Stegostoma tigrinum: one gene and its partner. The protein of the gene in region 1 purifies or fractionates together with the protein of each later gene. This does not show direct contact. Links are inferred from orthologs where the notes say so. Each region holds a gene or a part of one and is shown on either strand. Other genes may lie near its edges. The genes, in order: tmem9b and flvcr1.

Region 1 (17,193 bases):
GTTTCTGAACTTAACAAAAATTACTATTTATTATAAGCAATTAGAATCATGCTATAGGAAAATGGCTATGAACGATCAGCATTAAAGTTTACAAACTGAAACTATATTCCCTTACACACAAAAATTGGCAGATAGATAGATAGGGGGAAAGAGTGGGTTATGGATGAAGGTATTACTGGGTTTCATGGTCCCTGTTCACAGGATCTGTTGAGATGTGTCATACATTTCTTGAGCTGGTCAGACCACTGCTTCTTAGTTGTCTTTTGTTGGATGTTTTCACTGGTTTGCAAGAGGTACAAGATGACTGTTTCACTTATAAAAGGTTTCTGGTTTGTTAATTAAACATCACAGCTTACACCAACTGCTGAAGGAAACATAAACTGGAATGAAAACAAATTTCTGGAGAAATTCAGCAGGGCTAGCAGCATCATTGGAAAGAAAGCAGAGTTAGTGTTAAATCTGGTGACTCTTCTTCAGAACCAGATTCAAAATGTTAACTCTGTTTTCTTTCCACAGATGCTGCCAGAACTGCTGAGTTTCTCCAGCAATTTCTGTTCTTGTTTCAGATCTCCAGTATCAGTAGTTCTGTTTTATTATGAAAGATAAACTGTTTTCCTTCAGGTTTAAATTGGCTTAATACACAGAACAGAGAGAGAGAGGTCTTGGCTGGTAGAGACCCTGGTGGCTTCTTTGTATCTTAATCCCAGACCCAAGCTGTTCAGTTACCTGAAAACCAAACACATGGCTGTTGGCAGGCAGAAGGGTTTTGTCATTGATAACTGGTCACTAGTCCAAAACCAACCAAAGTTCTAATTTTACAGAACACCTTGGCTCTAGTTAATCAGCAAACAATGCTACAGCCCCAGCTGTACGTAGTTCACACTGAGTATCACATTACTCACTTTCAATCCTTGGTTTTTAAAGCAGTTCATTTTTTATTTCAATCCACAATTAGGAAAATACAAGAAAAATCATGGTATGACTCTATGACTCTATGTTCCCTCACATCCTATCTTATCTACAACTAGGTCTGCACAATATGAACTAGCCAAATGATTGAATGAATTGCTTTAACCAGTTTTCACAAGCTCATTGAAGGATTCCTTTTCATTTGCATAGACTATACAGAATTTGCATATGTATAGAAATACAGTGTACATGTGCTTATTTAAGATTACTAACCATTCAAAAGTGTACTTCTCAAGGAAGCCACAGATTTTTGTAATGGAGCACTATGTCAAGGCAATTTAGAACGATCAGAATTGTGTGAATCAGTATTCAATGATCTCAAGAACTCAGCAACCAGTAATTAAGTTCAGTTTTAACATCACATTGGGCAAAATAAATAATATTGCTATGGGATGCCCTCTAGGCTGAGTTCTTGCAAACATCTTTGTTGGATTCCATCAGAAATGTGCCTTCAATACACTGATACTCAACTTCCTATCCTTGCATATTTACAAGGCATAGATTTACTTTAACTGAAGTTATAAATAGATGCAAGAATTTTCTTTCATGTATTAACAGGCTCCATCGCACAATCAATCAAACTAGCTCCCTTTCCTTGATGTCCCAGCAGAGAAATCAGCCAGGGGCTCTTGAGCTTTGCATACCACAAGCCTACTTTTATTGGGCAATAAATGCGTTGGAATTCCTACAGTTCCACATACTACATTATCAGAACCTTCAACTAGGGCCTAAGCCACTTGTTCATCATGCAAGCTTAATGCTGAAATAGGATGCATCAAAGACATCTTGCAGGATGATGCCTATTCTGATCAGATAATTTTTTGTTATACATCCTGTAAACTCACAAATGGTCTAACACTGTCACTTTTGGTCCTAGCATGTGTCCAATCTATCTCCATTTTAGATTAGAAACAGAAACAGAAATTACTGGAAAAACTCAGCAGATCTGGCAGCATCTGTGGACAGAAAGCAGAGTTAACATTTTGAAACTAGTGACCCTTGTTCAGACTCTTTCTAGATTTCATGAAAACCAGTTACTCATAATTGTATAAATAGAGTAACATTTCAGATTCTGTTATATGTCTCAACCTCCAGATCCAGACCTTATCCATAGATTTTAGCAGAGCATATATAGAACATTACAGCACAGTACAGGCCCTTCGGCCCTCAATGTTTTTAGTTTGGCTTTGATATTGTGCAAACTGTCCCATATACAGTTTTCCTTGACTTCCATGGACAGGCCTTACCCATAGTTTTTAATACAGACATATATTTTCAATTTGGCTTGAATACTATGCATAGATAATGTCCTGTTTATGGAAAGCTAAGTATCTATTTCTGTCTTATATTGGGTTTGAAATGCTCCTTCTGTTGTTTTCTTTTGTTTGAGTGGACTTATCCTTTCCCTACCTACCCTCTTTCTTCTTATGTGCAAATAAAATGCCTTGGAATTTTCCTTAATCCTGTTTGCCAAGAATATTTCTTAGCCCCTTATAGCCCTCCTAATCCCTTGCTTATGTTAATGTAGCATTTTTGTTTGATACTTAGAGGCTCAAAGTTGTGATATATGGATTATTAATCTTTAACTGAACCAAGTGATTCAATACTTCGGACTTGCGCTCAAAAGAAAATACCTTGAGATGGGTTAAGATACAGTATTGTGAAATGGCTGCAGAAGCCACTTGACCTACAAGAGTGGCCCAGTTTCAAAATACTTCTGAAATGGATTACCATGAAGCACAAGTGGCCAGTTCTCCTGCAGAATTTCACATGTCATTCAACAACTGACATCTTGTCTGCAGAAACTACCAGACATACAAGGAAAACTACCAAATCCATCAGAATGCAAAAAAGGTCGCTAAAGACTCCCTTGTCAGTTTCATTGATAGTTTTGAAAATGGATTGTTCATACAGACTGTCCCCATTGTATGCCAATAGTCAGCTATCACAAATGTGCCCTTGTAAAAAGCTATGATCATAAACTTGTCTGCTTGCTACAGAGAGCAATAAAATCAAAAAGGTCTGAAATATGGAATCGGAATAGCAGCTGTCCACATTCAGGCACCACGTTTTTTGCAAGATGGATCAAAGAGAAAGAAGAATTAAATACCAAAGGAACTTCAACCATTATAGCAATAGTTCTGGAAAATGATGTTACTAGTTTAAAAGAGATGATCTTTGGAACAACTGCAATTGGGCCATTACATTATTCCAAGCAGCGTCAGAACTTCAAGATTGCCAAATGAACCTCAAAGTGTGTTGTAGGATCTGTTTCACCCTTTTTATAAGTTTATACTTTACTTGAATGAATTTACAATAAAACTAACTCTTTATTTTCATCAACTCAACATCTGTCTGCCTTATTTCTTCATATAACTTTGCATGTGGCCAAAGACATAATGAATTGAAGAAAGTCATATTTTTGAAATTCAAACTCATTAGTAGCCAAACTTAAGAGTGTTCGAGAGGAATTTATTCAATCTTCCAGACTTGGTTGTAACATTAGTTGAGGTAATATCTGCCACAAATGTACTATGGCTCAGCACATGCTAGCAATGATACTGTGGAGAAGGATTTTCTGGAGTTCATGTGCGACAGGTTTTTAGACCAATACTTTGTAGAACCAAACACAGCACAGGCCATTCTAGAATGGGTATGGAGTAACAAGAAAGGATTAATTTTTACAATCATTTTGTGTGGGATCTCTTCGGAAAGACTGATTGCAACATGACAGAATTCCTCATTAAGATGGATAGTGAATAGTTGAATCCAAAACAAGGGGCCTGAATCTAAGTAAAAATAACTACGAGGATGTGAGGTGCGATTCAGCAAGGACGGACTGGAAAATTTTATGAAAAGGGTTAGAATTAGAATCAGCTTTATTGTCACGTGCACTCAAACGAATGCAGTGAAAAGTTTGCAATGTCACCACGTATGCCGGCGCCATCATAGATACAGGATACCTAGGTATAGATACTTAAGTATTTGTTACAGAATTGAAAGAATAATAAGTAAAATCTAGCTCAGGAATACAAAGGTTTTAAAAAGTACTCAAATTACTTGAAGTCCAGCATAAGAATAAAAAGCTTTTTTTTAAAAAGTACTCAAATTATAGTACTTTTCATCAAGTCCGTGCCAGCACCTAGCATCCCGACCATGCCAGCCTTCAAAACTCAAAGCCTCGCTGACAGTCCACAAGGGACTTCCCTCCCTGCGACAGCTTCCAGGCTGTGACCCATCTCCTCGTGATGGCCTCCAGTTTGGGACTCACCTCCTCATGGTGGCCTCTGCTTTGGGAGTCACCCCATTTGATGAAGGATAGACAATGGATAATATTTGAAAGATTTAATTACAACTATTTTACATTCCTGTCTGGTGCAAAAATAAAACAAAAACGGTGGCTCAACTATGGCTTACAAAAGAAATTAGGGATAATATTAGATCCAAAGAGGAAATAGACAAACTTGCAGAAAGCCTGAGAATTGGGAGCAGTTTCTTACAGTTAGAATGGGGAACTAAGAATTGTCAAAAGAAAATGAATACATACACTGCTCCTGTCTTCATCAAACAGGGCTCAGGTAACCACCTGGAAATGTTCGGGAACTAAGGGGCTAGTGAGAGAGTGGTACTAATTAAAGAAAATCAGTATGAGTAAGACAACAATATTAGGGAAATTAATTGAAACAAAGGCTAACAAATCACGAGGTCTGATGATCGACATCCCAAAATACTAAAGGAAGTAGCCCTGAATCTGTTTACAATATATATTACTACCTTGGAAATAAGCAAATGTACAGTAGCTAAATTTGCAGATGGTACAAAAACTGGTGTAAAGGCAAGTTGAGAGAGGGGAACATAACAGCTTCCAGAAAGTTATTGATACGTTAAGTATGCAAAATGTTTGCAAATGGAGTATAATGTGGGAAAAATGTGAAGTTGTTCATTTTGGAGGGGAGAACTAAAGAACAGAGTATTATCTAAATAGAGAAAAACTACAGAAAACTGCAACACAGAGACTTGGGGTACTTGTGCAATAAGGCCAGACGGCCTAATCTTGTTCCTATGAGTGATAATGGGAACTGCAGATGCTGGAGAATCCAAGATAACAAAGTGTGGAGCTGGATATACACAGCAGGCTAAGTAGCATCTCAGGAGCTCAAAAGCTGACGTTTCAGGCCTAGACACTTCATCAGAGAGGGGGATGGGGAGAGGGAACTGGAATAAATAGGGAGAGAGGGTGAGGCGGACCAAAGACGGAGAGAAAAGAAGATAGGTGGAGAGAGTATAGGTGGGGAGGTAGGGAGGGGATAGGTCAGTCCAGGGAAGATGGACAGGTCAAGGAGGTGGGATGAGGTGGAAGGTAGGAAATGGAGGTGCGGCTTGAGGTGGGAGGAAGGGATGGGTGAGAGGAAGAACAGGTTAGGGAAGGAGAGACAGGCTGGGCTGGTTTGGGATGCAGTGGGGGAAGGGGAGATTTTGAAGCTTGTGAAGTCCACATTGATACCATTGGGCTGCAGGGTTCCCAAGCGGAATATGAGTTGCTGTTCTTGCAACCTTTGTGTGGCATCATTGTGGCACTGCAGGAGGCCCATGATGGACATGTCGTCTGAGGAATGGGAGGGGGAGCTGAAATAGCTCGCGACTGAGAGGTGCAGCTGTTTGTTGCGAACCGAGTGGACGTGTTCTGTAAAGCGGCCCCCAAGAATACTAGAATACACTTCCTCCCACCCACCCTCCTGCAAAAATTCCATCCCCTATCCCCAATTCCTCCGCCTCCACCCCAATTGCTCCCAGGATGAGGCATTCCACTCCCGCACATCCCAGATGTCCACGTTCTTCAAGGACCGCTACTTTCCCCCTGCAGTGGTCGAGAACGCCCTTGACCGCGTCTCCTGCATTTCCCACAACACATCCCTCACACCCCGCTCCCGCCACAACCGCCCCCAGAGGATCCCCTTCGTTCTCACATACCACCCCACCAACCTCCAGACACAATGTATCATCCTCCGACACTTCCGCCATCTACAATCTGACTCCAACACCCGAGCTATTTTTCCATCCCCAACCTTGTCTGCCTTCTGGAGAGACCACTCTCTCTGCGACACCCAGATGTTCACCTGCACATCTGCCAATGTGGTATATTGTATCCATTGTATCCGGTGTGGCTTCCTCTACATTGGGGAAACCAAGCGGAGGCTTGGGGACCGCTTTGCAGAACACCTCCGCTCGGTTCGTAACAAACAGCTGCACCTCCCAGTCGTGAGCCATTTCAGCTCCCCCTCCCATTCCTCAGACGACATGTCCATCATGGGCCTCCTGCAGTGCCACAATGATGCCACACAAAGGTTGCTGGAACAGCAACTCATATTCCGCTTGGGAACCCTGCAGCCCGTTGGTATCAATGTGGACTTCACAAGCTTCAAAATCTCCCCTCCCCCCACTGCATCCCAAACCAGCCCAGCCTGTCTCTGCTTCCCTAACCTGTTCTTCCTCTCATCCATCCCTTCCTCCCACCTCAAGCCGCACCTCCATTTCCTACCTTCCACCTCATCCTGCCTCATTGACCTGTCCATCTTCCCTGGACTGACCTATCCCCTCCCTACCTCCTCACCTATACTCTCCTCTCCACCTATCTTGTTTTCTCTCCATCTTCGGTCCGCCTCCCCCCTCTCCCTATTTATTCCAGTTCCCTCTCCCCATCCCCCTCTCTGAAGGGTCTCGGCCCGAAACGTCAGCTTTTGTGCTCCTGAGATGCTGCTTGGCCTGCTGTGTTCATCCAGCTACACACTTTGTAATCTTGTTCTTAATTGTTAAGGTCGTATGGAAATATTAGATGTAATGATAGTCATCTTCCAAAATTCTAGAGACGCTGGAGCAGATTTTAGAGACTGAAGAATGGTAAACGTAACCTTTCTTTTAAAAAGGAGTGAAAAAGAGAGAATTACAGACCACTTGTCTTACAGCAGCCGTGGGAAAACACCAAGAGTCCATTATTAAAGACATGATAACAGAGCATTTGGAACGCATTAATGGGATTAGACAATGCAAGCATGGGTTTATGAAAGGCAAATCATGCCTAAAAAAATCTACTGGAGTTTTTTGACAATGTAACTAATAGAATAGAAAAGGGAAAACCAGGGTATGTGTATTTGGATTTTCAGAGGTTTTTGATAAATTTCCTTATAAGAGGTTAGTGAGCAAAATTAAAGCATATGAGATTGGGGGTAATATTGGGAGCATGGGCTGAGAATTGGTTGACACAGGACACAGAGTGGCAATAAATTGGTCTTTTCTACATGGTCGGCAGTGACTACTGGGGTACGACAAAGATGAGTAATTGGGCATCAGCTATTCATAACATATATGAATGACCTGGTTGAAAGAACCACATGCAATATTTCCAAGTTTGCTGATGACACAAACTGGGTGGAATTGAGATAATAGGAACTGCAGATGCTGGAGAATCCAAGACAACAAGGTGGGGAGCTGGATGAACACAGCAGGCCAGGCAGCATCTTAGGAGCAGGAAAGCTGACATTTCAGGCCCAGATCCTTCATCAGAAAATCTGAAGGGTTTAGGCCCGAAATGTCAGCTTTCCTGCTCCTAAGATGCTGCTTGGCCTGCTGTGTTATCCAGCTCCACACCATGTTATTGTAGAATTGAGAGTTTTGACAATGCAGCAAAGAGGCTACATGGTGATTTAGACAAGTTGAGTGAATGGGTAAACATGTGGCATATTTGTACAACATGGGTAAATGTGAAGTCATACACTTTGGTGTGAAAAATAGAAAGGCAAAGTATTATTTACACTGTAATATATTGGTAAAAGTGGATGCACAAAGGGATCTGAGTGTCCTTGTACCGAGTCATTGGAAGGAGACAGGCAGGTGCAAAAGCAATTAGAAAGGCAAATGATATATTGGCTTTCATTGCAAGAGCATTTAAATTACAAAGTAAGGATGCCTTACTGCATTTGTACAGGACCTTGGTGAGACTACACCTGGAGTATTTTGTGCAGCTTTGATCTCTCAACCTAAGAAAGGATACCCTTATCATTGAAGGGAGTGCAGCAAACATTAACTAGGCTGAAACTGGGGATGGCAAGACTGTTGTATGATGGGAAACCGGTTTGACTGAGCCTGCATTCACCAGAGTTTGGAAGATCTGATTGAAAAGTATAAAATTCTAACAGACCTGGGCAGACTAGATGCAGTCAGATTATTTTCCCTGATAGGAAGTGTGAACCAGGGATCACAGTCTTGGGACACGCAGTAGACTGTTTAGGATTGAAATAAGGAAAAAAATTTCTTTGCTCACAAGGTTGTGAATCTGGAACTTTTTAACCATGGAAGGCTGAGGAGGCCAAGTCAATATATTCAAGAACGTTCTTTTTTTACATAAGAGACATTAAAAGCATTTAATGAGAAAGTGGGAACGTAGACTGAGATAGATGCTCAGCATGATTGTAATGAATGGCAGGGTAGGTTCAAAAACTTCAATGCTCCTGGTTTCTATATGGTTGCATGTTTATAAGACCAAGAACCATGTGGATGGAACCAGCTCCAGGAAGAATCTCAAAGCTAACAAATTTCAAGGTGTGCCTTTTTAATGAAATCTTAATCATTGTTTCAACTTCTCAGGTACATGCTGCAAGTTGGTTTGACATTTAACAAAATTATATATTGAACGAAATAACCTCCTTAGCAATGTTTATTGTTCCTAACTCATGCTGAATCATGCATATCTCATACCAGTTAAATTATTTCACAGCTGACATGTGAATGTTACTGCTTGTTTACACTTGTTTTGCTCTACCACCCTTTAATAAAGGAACATAATTTTGGAAATTGTTTTGCATACACATATGAATTGACAATAATTAACAAGGTGAGCTACACATTATGGGAAATCTGCAACATTCGGTACATTTATTTCAACTGCTGCACCTATTTTGGTTGATGTTTTGAAATCCATATGTCTCTTTCGGTTTTCACAGTGTTTGCTAGCCTTTATGCTGTAGCACTGTACTCTGTATTGTCCATAGTTAACACAAACTGGCCCACATTTTTTGGACTTGTACGTAGCAAACCACTAATTTGGAATGCTATAATCAACCTTGGATTTTTGACTGAATTTGACACATGTTAAAAGTAAACATACACAGTATATTTTAAGGAATTTGTAATAGGTCTCATTGCAAACTTTCATTCATTGCTGTTTGGAGAATCTCAACATTAACTAAATTGTAAAAGGTTTAATAATGAGACGCCGGTAGTAGGGCCGTGTACACCATTTATTATTTAGATATTGATAAACGATATAAATGAAAATAGGCTTCAGCGATAGTAGGAACTGCACATGCTGGAGAATCTGAGATGACAAGGTGTAGAGTTGGATGAACACAGCAGGCCAAGCAGCATCAGAGGTGCAGGAAGGCTGACATTTCGGGTCTGGACCTTTCTTCAGAAATGCAATTCTGAAGAAGGATCTAGGCCCGAAACATCAGCTTTCCTGCTCCTCTGATGCTGCTTGGCCTACTGTGTTCATCCAACTCTACACCTTGTTATCCCTATAAATGAAAATAGGCTCCGATTGCTGAAAACTTATGCGGCGCTGACTCTAATAACAATGCGAACATAAACTGGTGTAAACTAAAACAGCGAAAACTCATTCTTCCTTTTGTCTCACCTTTAACAATAAAGAAGAGATAAAAATAAAAAAATAGGCAGTACATGTTCTTGAAGACAAAATGCTGTCCGGTCTTCCCTCCTCAGACACACCGACGGACTAGGCCTCAGGCATTGATCTCGTACTCGCCAGTCGGTTACCAGGGAAACGCTGTCTCCAGGAGAGGGAGCCCCGACAACGAGGAAGGGAGCGCTGGGTGGTGAGATGGCGGGCGCTTGTGGCTGTAGTATTGTTCTGTCCCTCTGGTTGCTGCTGTGTCTGCTTGTGCTGGCGAGGAGCGAGGAGAACAAGGTACGAAGGAATGAGTGAGGAAGCTGACCGCTGATGGATGTACCAGCGGCGCTGAACCGGGAAAATAGTCCTCTGCTGCTAAACGGAGGGTCGGTGGCCTCAGGCCCAAGTCATCAAGGGTTCATACACAGTGTGAACGGGTGATGAGTGGAGGCGGAACCCACACGTTTGGTCACTAACGGTGCTAGTCTGTGTAATTTACCATACTGCTCTGTCTTACTGACAGCTTTGTTTTGCTTTGCTTTCTAAATGCGATCCACCCTAAATACAGCTTCCTTTGAACATTTTGCAGGCTGGGTCACTCATCTGACCAGTAATGTCACTGTTGACAACTCTCCAAATTGATCTCTTTTAAATTTATTTCTACTCTTAATCATTTTAAAAAGTAAAGAGGCCTCATTCAAAGGTATAAATTCTAAGTAGATATTGATCTTTAAGAATCAAATAAAATCATACGTTTGTGGAACTGTTTGTTGGAAAATGATATCCGCTGGCACAGTTGTGGATTTCGGCGTTGCATTAATAGTCCCGTAGATTTTAGGAAGTGACGTCCAAATTCAGCAGCAGGAAATCACAAATGGTGATCTGTGACTTGTTTATGAATTTTATAGCTGAGATGATAACTTTTACGAGTTTATTTGATGGAGTGTTGAAAACTTACTCTGTATAGTTTACAGTTGCATTTTAATATCCTCATTGTGTTAACCGCTACTTCCTGGTGAATTAGCATCTTTAAGACAATCCTTTTTTTAATTCTATCTGCCTGTTTTAAAGCTGGGTATTTAAGCGACCCAAATGTAGGAAATGTAAATATAATTGATTTGGCTGCTCTTTAATTTTGGATGGGAACCTAACAGTAAAACGTGTTCAACTGGAAAGTAGTTAATTTCACTAAAATGACTGGGATTAAGCCTGATTTAATTGTCTAGGAATAAAAAAAGCAGAGTATTGATGAAATATATTTTACCTATATTCTGCCTAAAATTTAAGTGGGGTGCATCCAACGCTGGAGTTCTGTGAGAAAGTGTAATCTTTGTGAGTTGATAAATAGAAAATTAATATAGAAAAACTGCCAGTGTAAAGGCAGAGCAACACTGGAGAAGAGACAGTATGGAAGAAGTCTACCATGTCAGGTAAGAAGAGATTTCCCAAGTAATTAATGAAAACATGGGAAAAAAATCACTTCGTTACCAAGACATATTTTAATATGCAGTTCTAGTGTCCCTACCTATGAGCCTGGAGAGCCAGGTTCAAGTCCTACCTGCTCCAGAGGTGGAGTTCCAGAATTCCAGTCTGCTCAACGTCTCTGAGCAGGTTGATTAGAAAGTATCTACAACCCTGTTTTCTGGATTCAGACAAGTGTTCTGAATTTCTAACTGCTGAAAGACTAAGTTACACCTGGAATGAAACATGAAATAAATGTTTTGTATTAAAATGAAAAAAATGGAAGAACTGTTCCTGTTTATCCAACAGTTTAAAATAAAAAGTGATGTAGTTGACACTTGTTAAAGCTTGTTCTCTCAAGCAGTCCAGTATTTCTTTAAAAAAACCCACAAACTGAAAAATGTTTTAGCATTCTGATTTGTGATTTATTTTTGATGAGTAAACAAACAAGATTTAAGAATTAAAGATTCTTTTTTTAAAGTGGATTTGATTACCCAAATAGTGTACATCCCATCTACTCTAGGATTTTAAGCAATTGAAAAAAAAATTATATTTTCATCTTTACACCACAGAACCCTTGTTATGAAAAGCCTTTTAAAACTTGTTGAAGAAGTGAAGAAAGTATTTTGAATGTCATATCGATCTTTACATACAAAACTATACAAAAATATAAACAACCTGAATTGTTCATTTCAATATCAAGTTCCTATTGAGCTACATAGAATATTGCTGTGTACAACAAACGCTTGAAGATTTGTTTAGAAATTGATTTGAAATGAATCTGCCCTTAATTTCATACTGCGCATTAATTTCATTAAAATTTTATTACCATTTCCTGCACTGCCTTGAAACAAGATTGAATACATTTAAAAATCAATTCTTGCAGGTATTACATTTGATAATTCTAATAGTGCAATGGTACTGCAAGGCATATAACTTGCCACTGAAAATTGATTCGTTGCTGTTATTAACGCTTCAACGCCCACACTCAAATCTTTTCACCTTGATTCCATGATTGGATGGTTGCAGACTGATACGATATACTTGCTTCCACAGAGGTCTTGTACTTGCCCAAGCTATCTGATGATGATGTAATTGACATGCCATGTCCAAGATATTCATCTGAGGTGTCATGAATTTTCGTATGCTTCATTCTTTTCGGAGAACAGTGTACAGTGCTTTCTCAGAAATTTAACATTATGGAACCCAATGGGATTCCTGTTCTTCCAGATCATTCATGCAGCTCTAAAGCTTTTCCACTGTGATGTGAGTTGGAGGAGGATACCCAAATGGCAATGTTACCACTAAATAGCAAAAAAAGTCAACACTTTTTTAAAATGAGGAACGAGGATAGTCTGAGCATGTAATCCTGTTGAACCCTACCAATGTTGCAGATATGGTGCCGGTCAAGCAGGCTGCTTTGTTCTGGATTATGTTCTTAAGCTTCTTAAATATTAGAGCAAGTGGAGAATATTCCATCACACAGCTTACTTGTGCCTTAGAGATGATGGACAGACATTTGGGAAAGTGTTATTTGCTACAATATTCATAGCCTCTCACCTGCTCTTGTAGCCATGCATTTATATGGGTAGTCAAGTTCAGTTTCTGGTCAGTGGTAATCTTCACGTTGTTGATAATGGGGATTCAGCAATGGTAATGACATTGAATATTCAGGGATGATAGTTGAATTCCCTCTTCTTGGAGGTGGTTGTTGTCTGGTATTTGTTGCATGAATGGTACTTGCCATTTGTTAGCCCAAATTTGCATATTGTCCCAGGTCTTGCTGCATGAGGACATGGACTGCATCATTATCTGAGAAGATAGGAATGCACTTTTTCACAAAGAGGGTGGTTCGTGTGTGGAATGAACTGCTGGAGGAAGTGGTAGATGCAAGCACAGTTACAGCATTTAAAAGACATTTGGACAGATATGTGAATAGGAAAAGTTTTGAGGGAAGTAAGCCAAATGCAGGCAAGTGGGTTTACTTTAGTTTGGTAAACTTAGTTTCGGCATGGATGAGTTGGACAGAAAGGTCTGTTTCTGTACTGTATGATTCTGTTTATCGTGGGGAGTCGGTGATATTAATGCCACTGAACGTCAAGAGGTGCTGATCAGATCTCTCGCTGGAGATGGTCATTGGTTGGCACTTGTGCGGTAAGAATGTTACTTGCCATTTATCAGCCCAAGCTGAATATTTTTCAGATTGTCATGGACAGCTTAACTATCTGAAGAGTCATGATGAAGATAAACAAGCACAGTAATATTTTTCCTTTCACTTCCTAGTTTGTAATTTATCTAGCTAATTTCCGATTTGCTTTATTAGTGTTAGCTTTTGGTTCAATGATAAATTTTTAAATTCCTAATTGCAATTAATTTTAAAGACTTGACCGATCAATTATTAATAATTATTTTGCACTTGTTTAGATAGGCACCAAGCAGCTTTATTTTCTTCATGAGAGATAGTAGGAACTGCCGATGCTGGAGTCTGAGGTAACAAGGTATGGAGCAGGATGAACACAGCAGGCCAGGCAGCATTAGGGGAGCAGGAAAGCTGACGTTCCAGATCTGGACCCTTCTTCAGAATTGAGGGATAGGAAGGGAGCTCTGAAATAAATAGAGAAAGGGGGAGGTAATGATAGAAGGTGGATAGTAGAGCAGATAGGTGGAGAGAAGACAGACAGGTCAAAGAGGCAGGGATGAAGCCAGTACAGGTGAGTGTAGATAGAGAGTTGGGATGGGGATTGGTCAGTGAGGAGGGAGGGATGGGTAAGCGGGAGGGAAGACAAACAGGTCAAGGAGTTGGGGATGAGGCTATTTGGTAGGATGTCGGAGGTGGGAGGAGTGGATAGGTGGGAGAAAAGACAGACAGGTTAAGGAGGCAGGGATGAGAGGGGGCGCTGGTCTAGGGATGAGGTCGGGGGTGGGGAGATTTTGAAGCTTGTAAAATCCACATTGAGACCATTGGGCTGCAGGGTTCCCAGGTGGAATATGAGGTGCTGTTCTTCCAGCCTTCGGGTGGCATCGTTGTGGCACTGGAGGAGGCCCAGGATGGACATGTCATCCAAGCAGATGAGGCAAAGAAATTGGGTAAAGAGGAGAGCATTTTTGCAGGAAGGTGAGTGAGAGGAGGTGTATTCCAGGTAGTTGTGGGAGTCAGTGGGCTTGAAATAGATATCAGTTTCCAGTCGGTTACCAGAGATGGAGACAGAGAGGTCCAGGAAGGGGAGAGAGGTATCAGAGATGGTCCAGGTGAACTTGAGGTTGGGGTGGAAGGTGTTAGTAAAGTGGATGAGCTGTTCGAGCTCCTCGTAGGAGCACAAGGCAACGCCGGCACAGTTATCGATGTAACGGAGGAAGAGGTGGGGGATAGTGCCAGTGTAGCTGCAGAAGAGGGACTGTTCCACGTATCCTACAAAGAGGCAGGCAAATCTTGGGGCCATGCGGGTACCCATGGCCACCCCTTCATCTGTAGGATGTGGGAGGAGTTGAAGGAGATGTCGTTAAGAGTAAGGACAAGTTCGGTTAGGCAGATAAGGGTGTTGGTAGAGGGGGACTGGTGGGCCTGCGGGAGAGGAAGAAGCGGAGAGCTTTTATGCCTGGGGAATGCAGGTGTAAAGGGACTGGACATCCATGGTGAAGATGAGGTGTTGAGGGCCAGGGAATCGGAGGTTTTGGAGGAGGTGGAGGCTATGGGTGGTGTCAAGGACGTAGGTGGGGAGTTCCTGGACCCCGGGGGGAGAAAATGGAGTTGAGATAAGTGGAGATAGGTTTGGTGGGGCAGGAGCAGGCAGAGACAATTCCCAATTCCTTTGCTTCTGCTGCATCTGCTCCCAAGATGAGGCGTTCCACTCCCAGACATCCCGGATGTCCTCGTTTTTCAAGCACCGCAATTTCCCCTCCACAGTGGTCGAAAACGCCCTCATCCACATCTCGTGTGTCTCTCACAGCTCAGCCCTCACACCCCTTCCCTGCAATAACAAGACAGAATTCCCCTTGTTGTCACATATCACCCCCATCAACATCTGGATTCACCACATCATTTTCCACCACCTGCAATCTGACCCCACTACCAAGGATATATTTCCATCTCCACCCTTATCTGCCTTCCAGAGGGACCGCGCTCTCTGTGACTCCCTCGACCACTCCACACTCCCCACTAGTGAACCATCCCTGGCACTTTTCCCTGCAACCGCAGGACGTGCAACACCTGCCCCTATACCAACCCCTCACCTCCATCCCTAGCCCCAAGAAAACCTTCCACACCTAAACAGATGTTCACTTGCACACCTGCTGATGTGGTATATTGTATCCGCTGTTCCTGATGTGGCCTCCTCTACGTCAGGGAAACCAAGCAGAGGCTTGGAGACCGCTTTGTGGAGCACCTGTGCCCAGTTCGTGACAAACAACCACACCTCCCAGTCGCGAACCACTTCAACTCCCCCTCCCACTCCTTAAATGACACGTCCATCCGGGGCCGCCTCCAGTGTCATGATGATGCATGAAGGCTGGAGGAACCGCGCCTCATATTCCACCTGGGAACCCTGCAGCCCAATGGTCTCAACGTGGACTTTACCAGCTTCAAAATCTCCCCACCCCCGACCTCATCCCAAGACCAGCACTGCCTCTTGGCCCTGCCTCCTGTCTGTCTTTTCTCCCACCTATCCACTCCTCCCACTTGACTGACCAATCTCCATCCCAACTCTCTACCTACACTCACCTGTACTAGCTTCAGCCCTGCCTCCTTGACCTGTCTGTCTTCTCTCCACCTTTCTGCTCTACTATCCACCTTCTATCATCGCCTCCCCCTCTCCCTATTTATTTCAGAGCCCCCTTCCCCTCCCCCATTTCTGAAGATGGGTCCAGACCCGAAACGTCAGCTTTCCTGCTCCTCTGATGCTGCCTGGCGACCTGTGTTCATCCAGTTCCACACCTTGTTATCTCTTTATTTTCCTCATGCCTTTCTGCATTGTGCAACAGGTATAGAGCTGATAATGATTGAAAAAAAACAGAATGTTTCGGAAAATGTTGCTGTCTGTAGTTTTTTTCCCCTTGTCTCATTGGTGCCTCAGAATCTGAGGAGTTTAACAATTTACTGGGAATTTATTACTGAGGTTGTAAGAATATAATTAAGTGATCTGATTGCATAGCACCCTTTTCTGAACAGACAGACGGTATTGTGTATGGCATGCATTAACTTCAGATTGAATTCCAAATTGGTTGTTTGCACCCTGTGTTTATCCAGTCTGTCCACCTGAAATAGGCATTTGACTCATTGACTCTTCTGTCTTTGAAGTTGAAATTCATCTTTTGCTTCTCTCATTCTATCTCAAATCACTTCATTTGTAGCTGAATTCTATTCAGCTTGAACTGTGTTCTACTCGAGGTAGACACCTTTTCTTACAATTTCAGACATGGTGTTCTTACTTGAAATATATTTGCTTTCTTAGTCATAGCTTTTAGTTCTACGTCCAATTTTTTTTACTAATAGCATGGCCTCAGAAAATGTTTGCAAGTCATTCGGATAAATCTTCGCTTTCCAGAAAAATCATAGCAACTAAGAGCCATTTTGATTTTCAATATGTATCGTAGAATTCACCATGGAAATCATGAATCAGCCTCAATGTCAGTAAGTCACAGTATTCATATTTGTTTGTGGATTTTAAATTCTATAAGAATTCCCAAATTAGGTAATGATCCCAGACTCGGCCTCCAAATTGTGTTACAATTCAAGGTGAGCCCCCAAATTATGTTATGATCTCAGACCTGATTACAGACTTTATGATCTAAGACAGATACCCAAATTATGTTGTTACAGTCTGGTCAGAGACCTTTTATGTTTAAAGGGAGATGCAAGTTGAGATACTAGGAACTTTTTAAGAGAATAGACCCACATCGTCTGAACAACCAACAATACATTTAGTATTCAAGTTAGAACAATAATGTAACCTACAGTACCTCTGAAACTCACTTAAATTTATTTATTTAGCTCAGAATTAACATGGGTAATGTACTGAAATTGAACACCTCAACATGCATAAATTAGAAAATATGGTGGTCAGTAAAGAAACTCAGCAACTCCC
Region 2 (16,946 bases), on another chromosome or scaffold:
GCACAATCCAAGTTTTTTCCAAACTGTTAATAATAATAATTTTTGCTTATCAAATCAATGTTCTGTATTGGTTACTACAAAACAGTGTTCAGAATTTAAACTTTTGGTTCATAAATGGAATCATATTTTGCAGATAATCACTGTTCAGTGGAATGCAGAGGGAAGCAGCTCACAGCCCACACCCAGCACATGTAGAAGATAAATTTCAAAGACACATCCAGAACACCCAGTAAGCTCAGGATGTGAAATCAGTTTGAACAAACAATTGACGCCTTCTGGAACAGTACCAGCTGCCATCTGGATTTAGTGACAATCTAGCAAATCTTCCCTGTACTGCACTCAATGAAAGCATATCCTTTCTTTAATATGGAGACAAAAACTGCATAAATGGGATTGTGCTGTTACCAAAGTCCATTACAATTATAGCAAGGCTTCCTTATTCTTGCATTCCAATTCCTTGTAATACAGGCTAATAATTGATTTATCTTCCCAGTTGATTGTTATATCTGCAAGTTAAATTTTTCCTTGTGAGTGTATCTCTGACTTCAACCTTTTTAAAAATACTTCACTTTTCTGTTCTTATTACAAAAGTGAATAGCCTCACACTTACTCACATTTTACTCCATCTGCCACCTTAGTGTCCATTCATCTAACCTCTCTATATCTCTTCGCAGGCTCCTAGCATTTGCCTCACAGCTTACATTCTTACCTAAAGTGACACTGTGATGAGTTCAAACTCAGATGATATGAAATTCTGGTTATGTTGAAGTCGTCAACCACTTCCACATGAGAATAACAAATCCCATAGACTAATGCCTATGATAGACTGAAATTCTGCAATGTTTCTCCAGATTAGGTGAACTTGTTTAAACCTGTCATATAACCATGCTGGCCAAATATAACTGAGTTACAACACAAGAGCACAAAAGGCTTGGAAGCCACTCATGTAATTGCTCTGTTTTAATGCTTATTTTAGATGACCACTTAATTGAAAAATGAAGATATTATTATGAATACCTACAAATCATGGTAATCATAGATTGATATTGACAACTTTTACAATACAACTGGAATGCCTACCAGTACATTAAAAAGTCTTTGCGTCTCTCCAGAAATTCCCTCTTGGACAATGGCTCATCACATGCAAAATCTACCTTCAGTTAAGCAAAAATTACAATGTCTTCTTGACTCAAATGTGGACTCCCCATTACCATCCTTTACTGCTGCTGCTCACCTGTGATGTGTGAATGAGCAGGTGAGACCCAACAACCTACCTTGTTGGTCTCATTGAAATATCAGCAAATGTTTGATCTACACAAGTGTTGTAATTAACAAAAGGGCCTGACCACTTATCCTCCTGGACCATCTTCAATGGGGTGCTTTAATGTCCTGTACAAGTTTAAAGACAAAGTAGACCATCAAGATAAAAGCATGTGAACATTAACATCAATATGATTCACTGGTTGCTAACAGCAAACCAGTATGATCGAGTATTGTATGTCATGTGGCTATCCAATATTTAATTCATCACGGAGACCACTAATTCTACATGGCAAAGCATGCTACGATTCCACCGATGTCCAATGCTACCTCCTCTGCAGCTGTCAGTTGAAAGATGCGAGAAAACCTACTCTAGTTCTATGCCACCCACATTATTTGTGTTTTTCTCACTATTAATGGAAAAAAAACTTAAGAGTGAAAGAATGATACAATTCTACTGCTGATATGTAGTATTTGTTGAAGATCACTATGAGGAAGATGCATGGCATCACAATAACAGATCTTAGTGATGGATAGAGAGATGGGGAGAACACACGTAGGTAGAAAAGAATGAGCACATCTACAAGGTGTGCTGGTGTCAGGAATGATAATGATGAAGTAGGCTTTAAAGGGCAGAGTTGGGCTGCTCACTGCATTGGGATGTAGGTGAATGTGGAACTACACTCATCTTTCTTGTTTGCTTCTGTCTTAAAAACTGCTTCAGCATTAAATTCATAAGCATGGCACAAAGCTTCTGTTATTGACCTCATGAGTAAACTCTGGGTATCCACCTTTCAAATGCAAAAGAAAATGCAGGTGCTGGAAATCTCAAATAAAATGAAAATGCATGAAGTACTCAGCAATTTTGGGAGTATCTGTGGAGTTGCCAGTTTAAGGGCAATCTTACATCGAAAATTTGGGTTATTCAATTAAAGCAAGCATGGATTTCTTAAAAGAAGAGGATGAGGGTGGGAGGTGGGGCAGGTCAGGAATAAATAATTGGTGGAGATGAAATCCAGTTGGACAGACAAAAGAATGGATAAAAGTGAGCTTGGGAGAATCAATAGCTGCTAGTGGAGGACATTAGTGGCTTTTTGTGATAGTAGCTCATGTGATGACAAGTCCTAGTGTGTAGGGATTGGGGTAAGGGAGAAGTTGCTCAGACCTTAAAATTATTGAATTTGATATTGAGGCCTGAAGACTGTCGGGTCCTAAGCAGAAAATGAGGTTGCTGTTCTTCTAGCTTGCGCTGAGCTTCACTGGAGCAGGGCAGAAGCCTGAGAGAGAGAGAGAGAGAGAGAGAGAGAGAGAGAGAGAGAGATGCTGGCCAAGGAACATTGTGGTGTGTTGAAGTGGCAGGCAACAGGAAGCTCAGGGTAATTTTTGTGAATAGAACATAGGTGTCCTGCAAAGCAGTCAACCACTCTGTTTTTTCTCCCCACTGTAGAGCAGACCACTTTGTGAGCAACAAATACAGTAGACTAGATGAGTTGAACAGAGACTTGAGTAGATGTGCACAAATCTTTGAAAGTAGAAGGCAAGTTGAGAAATATTATAAAAGGTGTACTGGATTTTTAACTTTATAATTAGGAGTATGTGTACTTAAAACAATAAAATTATGCTAAAACTTTATACAGAGGAGATTTACTCGATTGGTAAACAATCACACATTTGACCCAACAACCCCACACAACCCAAGTGCCCACCCATCCAATGACTTAAATAAACCCAATGCCCACTTGATCTTCAGTTATGTTGAGAGACCAAGGAAGGTTAGGGAGAGAATTGACAGGCATTCAAAATCATGAATGGATACTTAGCAAGAAAATGTTAAGCAGGTTAATACCTGATTTAATACCATGATTAGTCAACGTTACAGATTTGAACATCACAACTGACCATACTCAATCACCTCCTCTATCCTGACCTAACAAACCATACACCCTCTCCCACTCCCAGCAATCCAAGTCCAACAATCCAACCACCTCACCAACATGACTGCTTTATTTACCTAGATTAGAAAGTGTGGAGCTGGATAAACACAGCAGGCCAAGATGCTGCTTGGCCTGCTGTGTTCATCCAGCTGCACACTTTGTTATCTCGGATTCTCCAGCATGTGCTGTTCCCATTATCTCTGCTTTATTTACCTAATTACCCACCCAACCTGAACACACACCTAGCACAACTATCCAACCCGAGTACATACCAGCCAACTACCCACCCAACCTGACAACCCACCTGACTCAACCAATCAGACACTCGACCTGATTATTCCCTCAACCCAAATGCCCAATCGATCTACAAAATCCTCCTGACCTGACTGCCTCTGATCATCTGAACTACCTCCTCAACTCACTACCCCTTAACCAGCATAGATTTGACTCAATTGCCAACTCCACAATCCATCTATTCACTCTCTCATCCATTTATTAAAAGAATTGAAGCTTTTACCAATATACCTGAATATGGCAGTGAACTACCTAAAAAAGTATGTCTTCTTTTGTCATCAACTCTTCTGTACTTACTGGACCAGGAAAACTGCTTCAGCACGGATTAGAGGTTCTGTTCGAAAATTTGTAATTTCATCAAGGTGCAGCAAACTTTGTAGGTGGCAGTGGACTGGAAAATCTGGGTCATTGTTAATCGATGATAAAAGGCAAAAATGGAATGAAAACATTTGGAAAGCAATTAAATAGGACTCTTTTTACAATTGCAAATAACAGTATATTTTAGTTTGACAGTTTAACTTCAATCCGCCTTTTGTTACCCTCCTCCGTGGATAAGTGAATGCATTTGAGTATGTCATAAACAGTTTAGAAAATAGGAGTACTTACTTCTTTACTCACTTGGCAGAAGTGAAGGAGGCAGAAATAACTGCACAAAGGCTGGCATCCCATCACTAAATTACTCTTTCTTTACATGTGGAAAGTCCTTGACACTGATTTAGCTTCCCTAGAACCGGCTCTCGATATCTGGATGTCCAACACACCAGTTATTTTCTGATTGGACCAGATTAACAGCCCCAGTCAGGGAACTCATATTCTATGGATCCAGCTAGCTGACCTTGTTACAATCATTATACCCTTTGCCTTCTCAATCTGAGGATATAGGCCAGTTCATTTTCTTGTAGGTACTCCTGGGACACTAACCCTTGGTCAGGTTCCTCCGATTCTGACATGGGTACGGGCAGTGTGTAACACACAATAGTTACCTCTTGCATCCCGAGTGTCTCAGAAGAAATTCATCTTCTTCTTCAGGTGGCAACATCTACCATGTCCATCTCAGGTTCGAAGGTCTCTTCAACATTTGTCAGAGGGTGAGAAACCAGGGTTTCTGCCAGCTTTTCTTATTATTCTGACAAGATGGGTATGTTTTGGTCCTGCACTGTTTGCGTGTTTGCAGCTTTCATACGGTTCATGTGCTTGTTCAAAACTGTTTCACCTCCCCAGACCTTGTACGCTACTGGACCTGAACTCACGTTGACCACTTCTCTTACCATGCAGGAACATTCCCATGGTTCCTGCATAAAAGTACGTCCCTTATCACCCATGGTTAGTGGAGTCTTGTGTCTGGCATTGATGTTCCTGATGCCATTTCACTAACACCCCCCACCCACATTCAGAAAGATCAGATTTAACCTGATGTGGAGTCTTCATTTCATTAGCAACTCTGTTGGAGTTGCAATAAGGATGGTCCCATAATCAAATAGGAACCAGGACAGTTTGGTATCTAGTGAAGCTGTAGGCTGTTTCTTTAAGTCTGCCTTTAAAGTTTGGACTGCTCTTTCTGCCAGACCATTGGACGATGGATGCTATGAAGCTGTCCTTATATGTTGAATGTCATTTGACTATAGGAAACACTCAAATTCCCTGCTGGCAAAAATGGGTCATTTTCAATGGTTAACACTTCCAGGAGTCTGTATATTGCAAAAGGTGCATGCAGGTTTTGTATCGTCATCGCCTTGTTTGACAAATGAACTCTATGCATGTCCAATCACTTTGAGTGGGCACCTATGAGACATGAGCTCCAGTACAGACGTCGGAGCCAGGGCGCCTTTTAACACCCTCTGTTTATCTTCCAATGGGTGTGATCCAGTTTTGTCAACTCTAGCCCAAGTAGTTCACTTGAGATGCCTGGAACACAAATTTTCCCTTCTAAAGCATATGCCTGCCTGGGAGAAATGTCTAAGAACTGTGCCCAAGTTCTCTCAGTGCCCCTTAGAGTCGATAAATTACAACCTAGGGGAGACCTTGCAAATTGTTTCCATTGTCTGCTCAAAAATTGTACAGGCTGATGATAACCCAAATGGCAGTCTTGTATCAGAGATAATGGGAACTGCAGATGCTGGAGAATCCAAGATAACAAAGTGTGAAGCTGGATGAACACAGCAGGCCAAGCAGCATCTCAGGAGCACAAAAGCTGATGTTTCGGGCCTAGACCCTTCATCAGAGAGGGGGATGGGGAGAGGGTTCTGCCTCCCCCTCTCTCCCTGTTTATTCCAGACTGTCCCCGCCAGCTTTTCAAAGCGAATTTTGTTAAAGGCTGGTTCTGTGATTACTGAAACAGCCGTTACAGTACGAAATGCTATGGAAGCACTTGGAATGACTTGATCGCCTGGATCCTGAAGAAAATTTTAATCCTTTGGCTGAGGTTTGGCTTTGTTTTGGGGTTTTGCTGTGGGCTGACCTAAGTCCCTCTGTTCAGGATACATCCTGAGTTAGGTTATGCAATTGCCTTCACTCAAGTGGCATTCCCCAAGTTCAGTTGACCGGCTAGGGTGTCCACTTTTATTGGAATACCCTGCAACTCATATGCTCCTCTTGCCACATTTCCAATGTTGGAGCCACTTGTACTGCCTGTCTGAAGTTGCTTTAGTTAGCAGCCACTTTTGCATGGTTACAAAATTAATCCCACCTAACAAATGGCCATTCAGCATTCATTAGGGGTTAAACCAAAGTCACAAACCAAGTCTCCTATTCATTTCCATGGTTCCTTATAGCCACTAAACTAATACAGTTCCAAATCATGCTAACTCATATGCCCTACGACACTTATGGACCCATGTAGCCTCAATACCAACTTAGTAAAAACCCACACCCCCTCATCCACCTCCATGGCTCCTTACGTCTCCTAACAAAGGTAGTGCCAACTCAAGCCAACCCATCCCCCTGGTTCTTAATAGCCCATATGCCAACCTAGGAATCCAACATATTGGGATGAAATCAAATAAAGTTCAAAATATGGAGTACTTACTTCACCATGTAAAAAAATTTGCATCAATGGAAGACTGTCCAATGCATTTAATTCCCACCAACTTTCTAAATTGTTACAAAAAACCCAAACATTTGTATGTGTAACCCAAATCAAAGAAAGCTAATCCTTTAACTATTTCTTTTAGCTGTCAAAGCTGTAAATGTATAACTTTTCATTATTAAAATGGAGGTTTGTGAAAAGCAGTCAAGCATTGTTAATATTACTCTGATGGCACTTAGGACTATGTCAACAAACTGCTGAAGAAATGTTAGAACAGTATATTTGTACACTTGCCAGGCAGTTTCATTTGCATTTTTAAAGGGCTGAGGTTTGAACTCAGTGTCGTGTCTAAAAGCTCTGCTGAGTTCTGGATTGCCCCAGATATGAGTCATGTACCATCCTCTTTTTTCATTTCGTGGCAAAAATGATTTTAGCTGAATATGGAGTTTGGATTTCTGGATGTGAGATCCATCCACCATGTTAGATAGATATTCCTGCTATAATACGTTTCGTTAAAGTGAATTGGCTTTAGTACAATTAAGGAATAGTGAATGCTGTTTGGATAACATGAACTTTCTATTACACAGTATAGAGATTTCCTAATAGCGAATTCTCTTTAACGCGATTTTTTATGGTGATTTTCTACAGCCTAAGACCGCACAAGAATGCAACTATCATGTTACAGGACAACTACCTGTAGGCTACAGAGCTTCCATGAAGGGTTCAGTAAAGATTTACAAGGATGTTGACAGGATTGGAGAGTTTAGGCTAAAGGGAGAGGCTGAACTGAGTTTTTTTTTGCCCTGGAACTTTGCTGAGGGGTGACTTTACAGAGGTTTATAAAATCATGTGGGGCATAGATAGGATGAATGGCTAAGGTCTTTCTCCCAGGGTAGGGGAGTCCAAGGCTGCAGGTTTATGAGGAAAGGGGAAAGATTTAAAAGGGGCCTGAGGGGAACTTTTTCACACCGAGGGTCGTGTGTTAATGGAACGAGCTACCAGAGCAGGTGGTATAGGTCAGTACAATGACAACATTTAAAAGACATCTGGATGGGTTAATGAATAGGAAGGGTTTTGAGGGATATGGGCTAAATGCTGGCAAATGGGACTAGATCAGTTTAGGGTACCAGGTTGGCGCAGGTGCGTTGGAATAAAGGTCTGTTTCTGTGCTGTATAACTCTGACTCCAAAAAATCAAAGCTGTGAAGGAACATCTCTTTCATAGGTCTGTGAATTCTTGGCATTCTCGTCTCTTCGAAACACTCAGCTGATGATTATATTTAATATTATCTGTGCAACAGATTTTTGTGCGTAAGGTTTGGGATAGTTCAGCAATGTAAAGTTCATGTAAGTGTTCAGCTATTTTTGTATTAAACAGCAGTGTAGGTTTGACCATACGGGTCTACACACTTATTTCTTATATGCTTATGAAACCAAATACTGCATCTAATATATTGCAATATAGTAGGCTAATAATAGTCATAGGAAGAAAATATGAACATTTAGTCCCTCAATCATCTTGCCAAATAATTAGATCTCAATTTACAAATTCTGGTCATTTTCACTTCATGAGCAATCTATGTTGATTATTGATTTTCAATTTATCTGATCTCAAAGCTAAGAGAATGTGTTCCAGATTTCCAAAAAGAAGTGCTTCCTAACTTCGCCTAGATCTAATTGGACTATTTCAACTGAGGAACAATTTTCTATTTAGCCAACAAATCTTTTAATCACCTTAAACCTAATTTAGATCATCTTTTAATCTTCAATAGGCAAGGGAGCATGAGCCTAGATTTTACTGTCTTCATAATTTAACTCTTTCAGTGATTCTGGTGAATATGTGCTGTACCTCCTGCCCTTTCTCTCCAACACCCCTGTCCACTGTATTATCCTTCCTGAAACATCGTGCCTAAATTTATGTAGTGCAATCTAATGCTCTTGACATACGTAACTGACGTTTCTTTGCACTTCAGCCTCTTGGATACATTACACTGCCCATTATAGCTTTAGTGAGCTCTGTATATAGATTTCTGAATTTTTTTTGCTCTTCCACAAGTCCTGGGTTCTTACTGTTTAGCTTCCCTAGGTCTTTCATTGATAACCTTATATTTCCCCAGTGAATTCAGTTTTGTTTGTGCAGTTATTCAGGTCATGCCCCTTTGTAACTTTGTTTCCATTAATACTACTTGTTGTGCTATCCAGTGTAGAGTGTGTCATCAAACATGTGTACATGGCTCTTTATTCTGCTGTCCTTGTTGCAGAATTTTATTGAACCTGGTAGCAAGATGTATAGTTTAATTCAACAAAAGCAAAATATTGCAGATGCTGGAAATTTGAAACAGAGAAAAGTCATGCCAGACTTGGAGTGTTAATTCTATTTCTCTTCACGGACGCTGCCAGGCTTGTTGAGTTTATCCAACATTCTCTGTTTGGGTAGTTTTATTATTTGCTCAGAGTAAAAGGTAACAAGAAATAAGTGCAGTTTACTCCTAAAAGAGATCTACAGCATTGCAAAAACAGCGTGAGAAATTTCCTATTGAACTGGCATCATATCTAAACTGAATACTTATTGACTACCAGATCATTCCTCAGTGTGCCATTTTTAGCCATAAGACCTCGCATTAAAATCATGTTCCAGACTTTGTTCAACATTCGGCTTGCAATAAAAGCACAGGTATTTTGAATTTTAGTTATGCTTACATGATATATCTCAAACAAATGGTGGTTATTAATCATTTTTGCTATTGAGGGAGTCAAGGGGATATGAAATCACATGACAATAACAGCCATTTTGTGAAAATAGATGTCGACAGTTTGAAAAAGGCAAAACAAAAGACATTTAAAACATTTAAACGTGTCAATGTGGAACATGTCATGATAATTTTAACACACGCTGTTTATGGGGTATTTAAAATCCTGTGTAAGATATCTCGAAGTTTTTTCCCCAAACTAACCGTAGCGGAACAATGATGTCACATCAGCAGATTTTTCAATTGGCTTAACTGAAAGCCAAGACACGAGTTCCATTGTGCTTCTTATTTTTTCAGATCGGATTAAACTGAAGTTTTATTGAATTTTAATTCTCTAATTAGCAAGTGGATTTGTTCTTTGTCCTTGCTAATATTTTGATATTCTCAAAAAAATAAATTTTCTGTAGCGAAGATTGCGCATTTTCCACATCGATACGATGTCCGGTAGCCCATTGGTCGAATAGGTGTCAATCATCTTACGGTCCCGCCTTACCACTATATGCGATTGGTCGATTCCGTCACCGATATCGAGATCCGGTTGGTCAAGGAACGCCTTATTTGCATTGCCCTTCCTATTGTGGTAGACTATTGGTTATGTTCCACGTCAATCATGCGTGCCTCCCTGATACGAACCCCTACTGGACCAAAGCGACGTCAATTATCACCCCGCCTTCGTGGAATGCGTGAGGCGGCTTCATAAACCACTGCATCTCGGAGCTGCTCTCATTCGCTTAGGAAACATCTTCAATTAGGAATAATACGTGCTCCTATTTGCGAATTACAATCTTACTTTTTTCGAAGAAAATCGAACGTGTAACATATAAAAATATATTTTAGTTTTTCAGTGGGTTATAAAAACCATATATTTTGTGTATTAACAAAATAAAACAAAAGCTAACAATGGTGGATGCCGATGGAACTGTGTGCCCTGTCACAAAGGCAATTCCTACCGCCTGCGCTAGAGAAGTGGTTATAAACGGTCTTTCTGGCCATATAGATGGTGTTATGCAGGACGGAAAATGCATGAAAGGTGCTAGGTCCCCTGAGGAGAGGGAGGCTATGCTGACCGGCGATGTGAAGCCGATCCAGACACGCGTTTACTGGAACCGGTTCGTCATTCTGATCGTGTTCAGCCTGTACTCCATGGTGAACGCCTTTCAGTGGATCCAGTACAGCATTATCGCCAACATCTTCTGTTATTTTTACCAAGTCTCCTACGAGCAGATCGACTGGCTCTCGGTGGTCTATATGCTCGTCTACGTCCCCCTCATCTTCCCCGCCGCCTGGCTGCTCGATAAGAAAGGCTTGCGGACTGTGGCGCTACTGGGCTCCGGCCTCAACTGCATCGGAGCCTGGATTAAGATCGCCAGCGTGAGGCAGGACCTGTTCGGAGTGACCATGTTCGCCCAGACGGTCTGCTCCATCGCTCAGATTTTTATCCTTGGCCTGCCCTCTAGGGTAGCATCAGTATGGTTCGGGCCCAAGGAGGTGTCGACAGCGTGTGCTACCGCCGTCCTGGGCAATCAGGTAAGGAGCATCAAGTGTGGGGGTGGGGATCTGAAATTAGGCGGGGTGGGCTTGGGAATTTCCCCCGCTCCTGGACTCCAGAGGGGCGTGAGCGGGTGGGCGGACGAGCGGCAGCCGCTCCGTCTCCTTCGTCCTTTTCCCGCCGCTGCACCAATGTGTCCTGCACGTCGTGGCGTTGGGGCCGCTGGGCACGTTTCCGCTCCCTTTTCGTGCTCCGTTCCTTTACCACCCCGGGGGTTACCGTGTGTTGCAGAAACCGTGCTGCAGCCGAGCCGGCTATTGTTTGCGTTTCTTCTTCCTCCCCGTCCTGTAACCCGATCGTGGTTCAAGACCGACCAACTTGAATCCCCATCGAACAGTCCAACACGTAGATGTGGAGCTCCCGTTAATCGCCCGATTTATTCTCTTCCTCTCCCCCCACCCCCGAGGAAATTGGCGGCCTTGAGTTTATTTTTATTCGCAAATATTTGAACTTGTCTTTATCTTAGATTCCGCTGCGTTCTTTTTCGGCTAGGATGCCGGCTTATCCGACAGCGCTAGTTATAGGTAATTTATGAATTAAGCATATTTTTGCATTTTAAAATGCATATTTACTCCCTTCCGAGCTGGGACACGTTGCTCAGTCAAACGCATGCTTTACTTCATTTTATGTGGATTTCATCACGTAGTGATTCAGGCAGGAAACCTTCAAAAAATGGCAGTTATAGTTAAGAACTTGGCAGAAGAAAATGGTGTCCTGTCTTGCATGCACTTATACGTTTGTAACTGATATCTCATTCCATCGTTCGTTACACTTGACAAAGAAGTCACTGAAGACATCGGCAATGTTGCACAAGACAGCCCCTTTTTATCTTTTTTCTGAAAGCAAACTATCATTGTGGTGAACTGCAGCCTAACTCTTTGGCATCAAGGCAGTCTGAAATTGGCAGCTTTTGTGGCACACGTTGTGTATCCTTTCCATTTGGAAGAGTGGCTCCTGAAACTCTGGTCTTAATTTATTCAAGCCAGTTTGTTCAGTGAAAATTCTGCCCTGTTTCAATTGTTGATGATTTAAGTCTGCGTATTAACACTTGACTTGACCTTTTTTAATTTTTCATTGATTATTTCCAGATCTCCTCCTCTTATCTATACTTTGAGATTATGGCGTGGATTGGTTGACGTTATTTTTGAATGGGTAGCGAATTGGCAGAAGCTACCCCCCACCCCTTGCCATTGGGCAGTGGTAGCTTTGTCATCCTGCACTGCCCTCTATTTAGTGTTCTTGATAATGGAGACCATTTCAGTTCAGGCCTTTTATTTCCTGACTACCCCACACCTCACTTCTTACCCCCCAATATTACTTTTGGTATCTGGGGGTTTAATGTGTCACTAAGTATTTGGTGTCTGCTATTCATTTGAGCTGCCATTTTTGTTACTATATGTGTATGCTTTAACATGTCTTCTATTTTCTCTTAAATACTTTGAAAAATAAAAACTCTCTATGAAAGGACAATTCCAGAACATTTCTGTGCAGTTTTGCCGAACGTAAATACCCTTTTAAAACAAAAAAAAAGTCCTCAAGGAAAGGCAACAAGGATTTCCATCATTTTTCCAGCTGATACAGATGTTGATCAGGTCTTGGATTGAAGGAGAAAACGGATTCAGACGATTTGAGTTTTCTGATTACTTCAGGCGGGACTAACAAGTATGCCATTCTGTTTTTAATATTATAGTATCAGAAAAAGGTGAGGCAAACTGTATGAAACTTATGAGCAGACTTTGTGCTGAAGAAAAAACGTTTAGGCCAGGTAGACAAACTGAGTGAGGTAGTAGACATATATCTTCCTAATATTCATGAATTAGAACCTGCACGAGAATTCTAAAATGCAGTACCATCACGACATGCTGGGTATAGAGTGAACATTGGAAACTTCTGACTTGCAAACTTCAGGCATAGAACAAGCATGCCATTGTAATAACATCCATAAACAGCATGTCTCATGACAGTCTATGTAGAGTTCCCAGGAACAAAATAGCATCTTCAGATGATTCCAGTGGTAGTACACAAAGGATCCTTCCCTTTCAGAGGTAAAATCAGATTATTATGCGTTAACCAAAATGGTTTTGCAGTTTCCTGTCATTCTAAATCATGGGACAGTTTTGTAAGGAAGATGGAATCCCAAGACTTCAGAAGATGGTGTACTAAACAACACAGCCAGAGGGCGATAATCACTCCATCCAGACCCTAATGCTGCATAGGTGATGAATGTGATGCTGTCAAGTAATCTATCCAGATCATTGATGATTGAAATGAACGTGCTGAATATACCTAAGCAAGGAATGATAGACACCGGGGTAAGTGCAAGCTTACTCAACAAGCGTGCCTATAACAAATGAGCATTAGAATCTGATGGTGTCCAGCTTCAATTGAATGATACATCTCATGGCTATTGACAAACTGTTTGGAGCCACAGTTTTTGAAACTTGACCTCCTTGCAATACTTTTAAAATTAGCTCCCAAATCCAGGCAGCTGATCTTTTTTACAGAGTTTATGAACAATATAATAATGGAACTTCTTCAGCAGCATTTCAAATGCTATCCACCATACTTTATTTGCATACCTGATATCAGTGCTACATGCAGCTTGAGTGAGGTAAGAAGTCTATTGGGAATAGTTGAATGATTGTGCCAGATTTACACCTGATTTTGCCACAGTCACCCAGCCCATTGCAAGAATTAACAAGCAAAGATTTTAGTTCAAACTGGAAGCTGAATTTTTTTTTCCAGGTATCACAGAGCCAAATAGTGAGATGCACATTAATGACATACCTACTGCTGACAGCATGTTATCATAGAGGCAAATCTAGTCACATTACAAGCTGTTCATTTGTGTCCAAAGATGCCAATAGGCTATGGCTGGTGTGGTAGGTTATTCAGTCATTGATACCTTTTGAACAACGTTTATTTAAAAATAGAATACGAAGTACTGATCAGCACACAGAGCTCCCTAATACTACATAGCATTCAGGAACTTAACTGATAACTGGTCCCTGTCACTAGGTTTCAGCATGTAAATGTTCAATAGGAATGAGTCACAGTGATCAGAAGAGGATCTATTCAATTGTTTCAGTATCCTGGGCATGAGCTCTCTGAATTTAATTGTTGTGTGCCTCGCATTGCCTGTGCATGCATCATAGGGCTACTTGGTTTTTTAGCATTTCTGTTTCAATATTATATGTTTCAGTCATCCACTCCTACTGTATGATGATTTATATATTTGATGTTATAATTATCTTCAATTAAGTACAACAGATGATCTCTTTGTGCATTTATGCAATTGTTTTAACAAAATCTACTTAAATACTCCTTTTATGAGTGCCCTTGCATTTATTTGAGAGTTCTGCACAAGTGAGGTGAGATTGGATTTTCACATATAATGAAGTCTCAGAAGTGACCTCTGGATATCTGCAGAAAATTGAAGACATCCTTCTTTCACATCTATATCAAAACTCAAATAATCAGTAAAAACTAATTTTATTTTTAACTATTCAGTAGTTTGAGACAAAAGGATTTTGGAGTGGGGATTCAATACTAGGATTGGGTGTGCATTTGTCACTAGTCAAACTGCAATCCAATTGATTTAACACATTTGTTAGCGAGGGTTATTCTTAATTGGGTTACTCCTATCAGTTGACTTTATTCTGAAGATTTGCTTAACTGAGGTAGTGTATTGATACTATATACTTACCGCCACCACCTTGCCCAACTCTACAAAGTCGAGTGTATGTTCACTCCCACTCTTATCACGTCTCATTCTTGTGTGTTAGAAATTAAGCCCCACTATTTGTGGAGTCTTCGTAAAAGTTACAGGTGTTATTAAAGTATGTAAAATTTCCCTGTTTGTTATTTCTTTAGATACAGGTTGACAAAGTGCAGATTACCAATTACAATTAAGTAAACTATAGCTACAAATAAAATGATCCGTTGGCATAAATTCCACTTGTTAAAACTAACCACTCTCTAAACCTCCTCCTTATGAATGCAGCCCATACGCCCACAGAGATGGGGAAAAAGTCCCGGCAGAGGGATAATTTGGAAAAGCAGGTCAGTGGCCCCTGTTCACAGGACCTGCTGAGATGATTCTTGTGCTGATCAAAATGCTGCTTCTCGGTCCTGCTGATCTGCTTTCATTGGCTTGCAGTACATATGGGTGGCTGGTTGACACTTATAAAAGCTCTCTGACTTTATTGAAAATCACAGTGAACAGCACCTGCTGGAGGAAAAGTAAACTGGTTTTCTTACGGTAGCATTGACTGCAGAGAGCTCTTGAGCTTGTAACTTGTCTCTATTTTGTTCGTAGTACCAAGCTGTTCAGCTACTTGAGAACTGATCATAGTTGCCAAACGTAAGACCTTCATCGATAAATGGTGACTATTCCACAGATAATCAGTTGCTTACTGAATCTCCGTTTCTATGCACATGCTTCTGCACCAGCCCATCTGCAAGCTATACTTTAACTATTACTAGAACCAGCAGTGTCACATTATTGCTTCCAAAAACTGCAGTATCCTTAAGACTTTGATTTTTAAAACAGTTCTCATTTTAGTCCACAAACAGGAAATACAGAAAATATAAAGACACAATCTTTACATGCTCAGCTGTTCTCCTGGGTTGATGGGGCTTGCTCACTGACTGAGACTAAGCATGCTATGACATTGGTTTTAATTGGGAACGGGAAATGGGCTGCCTTGAGTAGAGATTTGACTTTGGGAGTATTAGCATTGTTCTTGCTACAGGCCGGATGTCTGGCCTCCTCTGTACAGAGAAAAACTGAGCTCGCATTTCAAGTTCAATGACTCCTCAACAGTACTGGTTGGATTCTGACAAAGGGTTGCTGGACTCCACGGTAACTTCCACAGAGAAAAGCAGAACTTGCTGAGTTTTTTTGAGATGCTTTGTATTTGTTCAGGCCACCTCATGTTATTACTTCCTATATTCTTCACTAAGTACCACCCCCAAGTTGTGCTCAAAATGGAGAAGTATTGAGGTATCAAAGGCTGAAGAGGTACCAAGAGTTTAGGATAATTAATGCCCATGATCAAGAATACCTTGGAAGCAGCACTGCTGACCCAAGTTTTGAAAGTCCTAGCTATTAGACTGGAAATGCAGCAGGTGGTTAGAATACTTTACCACCACCTCATCTGTATCCCTACTGCAGATGCATTTGCCCAGAGAGACCACTGCAGTGACCTTTTGGAAACTATGCTGCATCTGCACAATGAGACATCTTTTGTTGTGTTGTATTGCACTATTGCAAAGTGGGGAAAAATGTAGAATGCAGCTATTTGAAGCTGGACGTCTGAGATTCTGAGGGTAATCAGCAGAAAATCTCTCTTCTGCAGTCTGTAATCTTAGCTAAACATATCACTCAATCTTCCATTCTTATCAAGTCAGGAGGGCAAATGCAGTTCAATGAGGATATGCGAAGATCATGTCATGAGTGGAACCAGGCACACTGTACTCTATTACTGAAGTGCCTTTCTGAAGCACAAGACTGCATACTAAAGAGTCGCCTTAACTCTAAGATCGAATGCAAGAGAAACCATCCTGTCTCTGAACTTGTCAAGACGGAATTAGAGAACCTTTGAACTGCTTCCATTGCATTTACAGCAGTACCCCAGATGTAGCGTAGCCTAGCCAGTGCCTTGTATAACTGAAATGCAGTCTCCTACTGTTCGATTCAATTCTCACAAATGCTAACATCTGATTTTTTTTTCCCCCAATTACTTGCTATACCTGCATAGTACAGTTTTTACAAATCTTGGTCTTAAAATCCAGATCCTTCGAACTTGGAACTCGGTAATCTTCTCGCCATTGAGATAATATGCTGCTTTTTTTATCCTTGCTGCCAAAATGAAAAATTCACAATTTCCCATGTTTTAACTCCGAGTTGCCACATCTCTACCTTCTCTTTATCCTTTCCCCAACTTATTTTCCTCATTATCTTTGCCATCGGTAAATTTGGCTGACATACCTTTGGTTCCCATATCCCATTTATACAAAATGTCAGAAGTTGAGGCCGTGACGCTGACCACTGTAGTGCATCACTTGTACGTTTTGTCAACCTGAAAATGACCAGTTTATGCCTATGCTGATCATTGGCTGGCCAACAATCAT

What was found.
Region 2: the proteins of tmem9b (region 1) and flvcr1 purify together in Homo sapiens (co-immunoprecipitation; 3 studies listed by BioGRID and IntAct, counting the BioPlex papers as one, with this or other methods). This does not show direct contact. The link is inferred for Stegostoma tigrinum from reciprocal best matches to the Homo sapiens genes TMEM9B and FLVCR1.

What each region holds. Positions count from the first base shown.
Region 1 is NC_081370.1:28,109,724-28,126,916, forward strand, and holds the start of tmem9b (transmembrane protein 9B), read left to right. Parts: upstream 1-9,803; 5' UTR 9,804-9,862; coding exon 9,863-9,949; exon of another isoform or gene 9,950-10,474; intron 10,475-17,193. UniProt on the Homo sapiens protein: Enhances production of pro-inflammatory cytokines induced by TNF, IL1B, and TLR ligands. Has a role in TNF activation of both the NF-kappaB and MAPK pathways.
Region 2 is NC_081362.1:55,402,752-55,419,697, forward strand, and holds the start of flvcr1 (feline leukemia virus subgroup C receptor-related protein 1), read left to right. Parts: upstream 1-9,976; 5' UTR 9,977-10,162; coding exon 10,163-10,789; intron 10,790-16,946.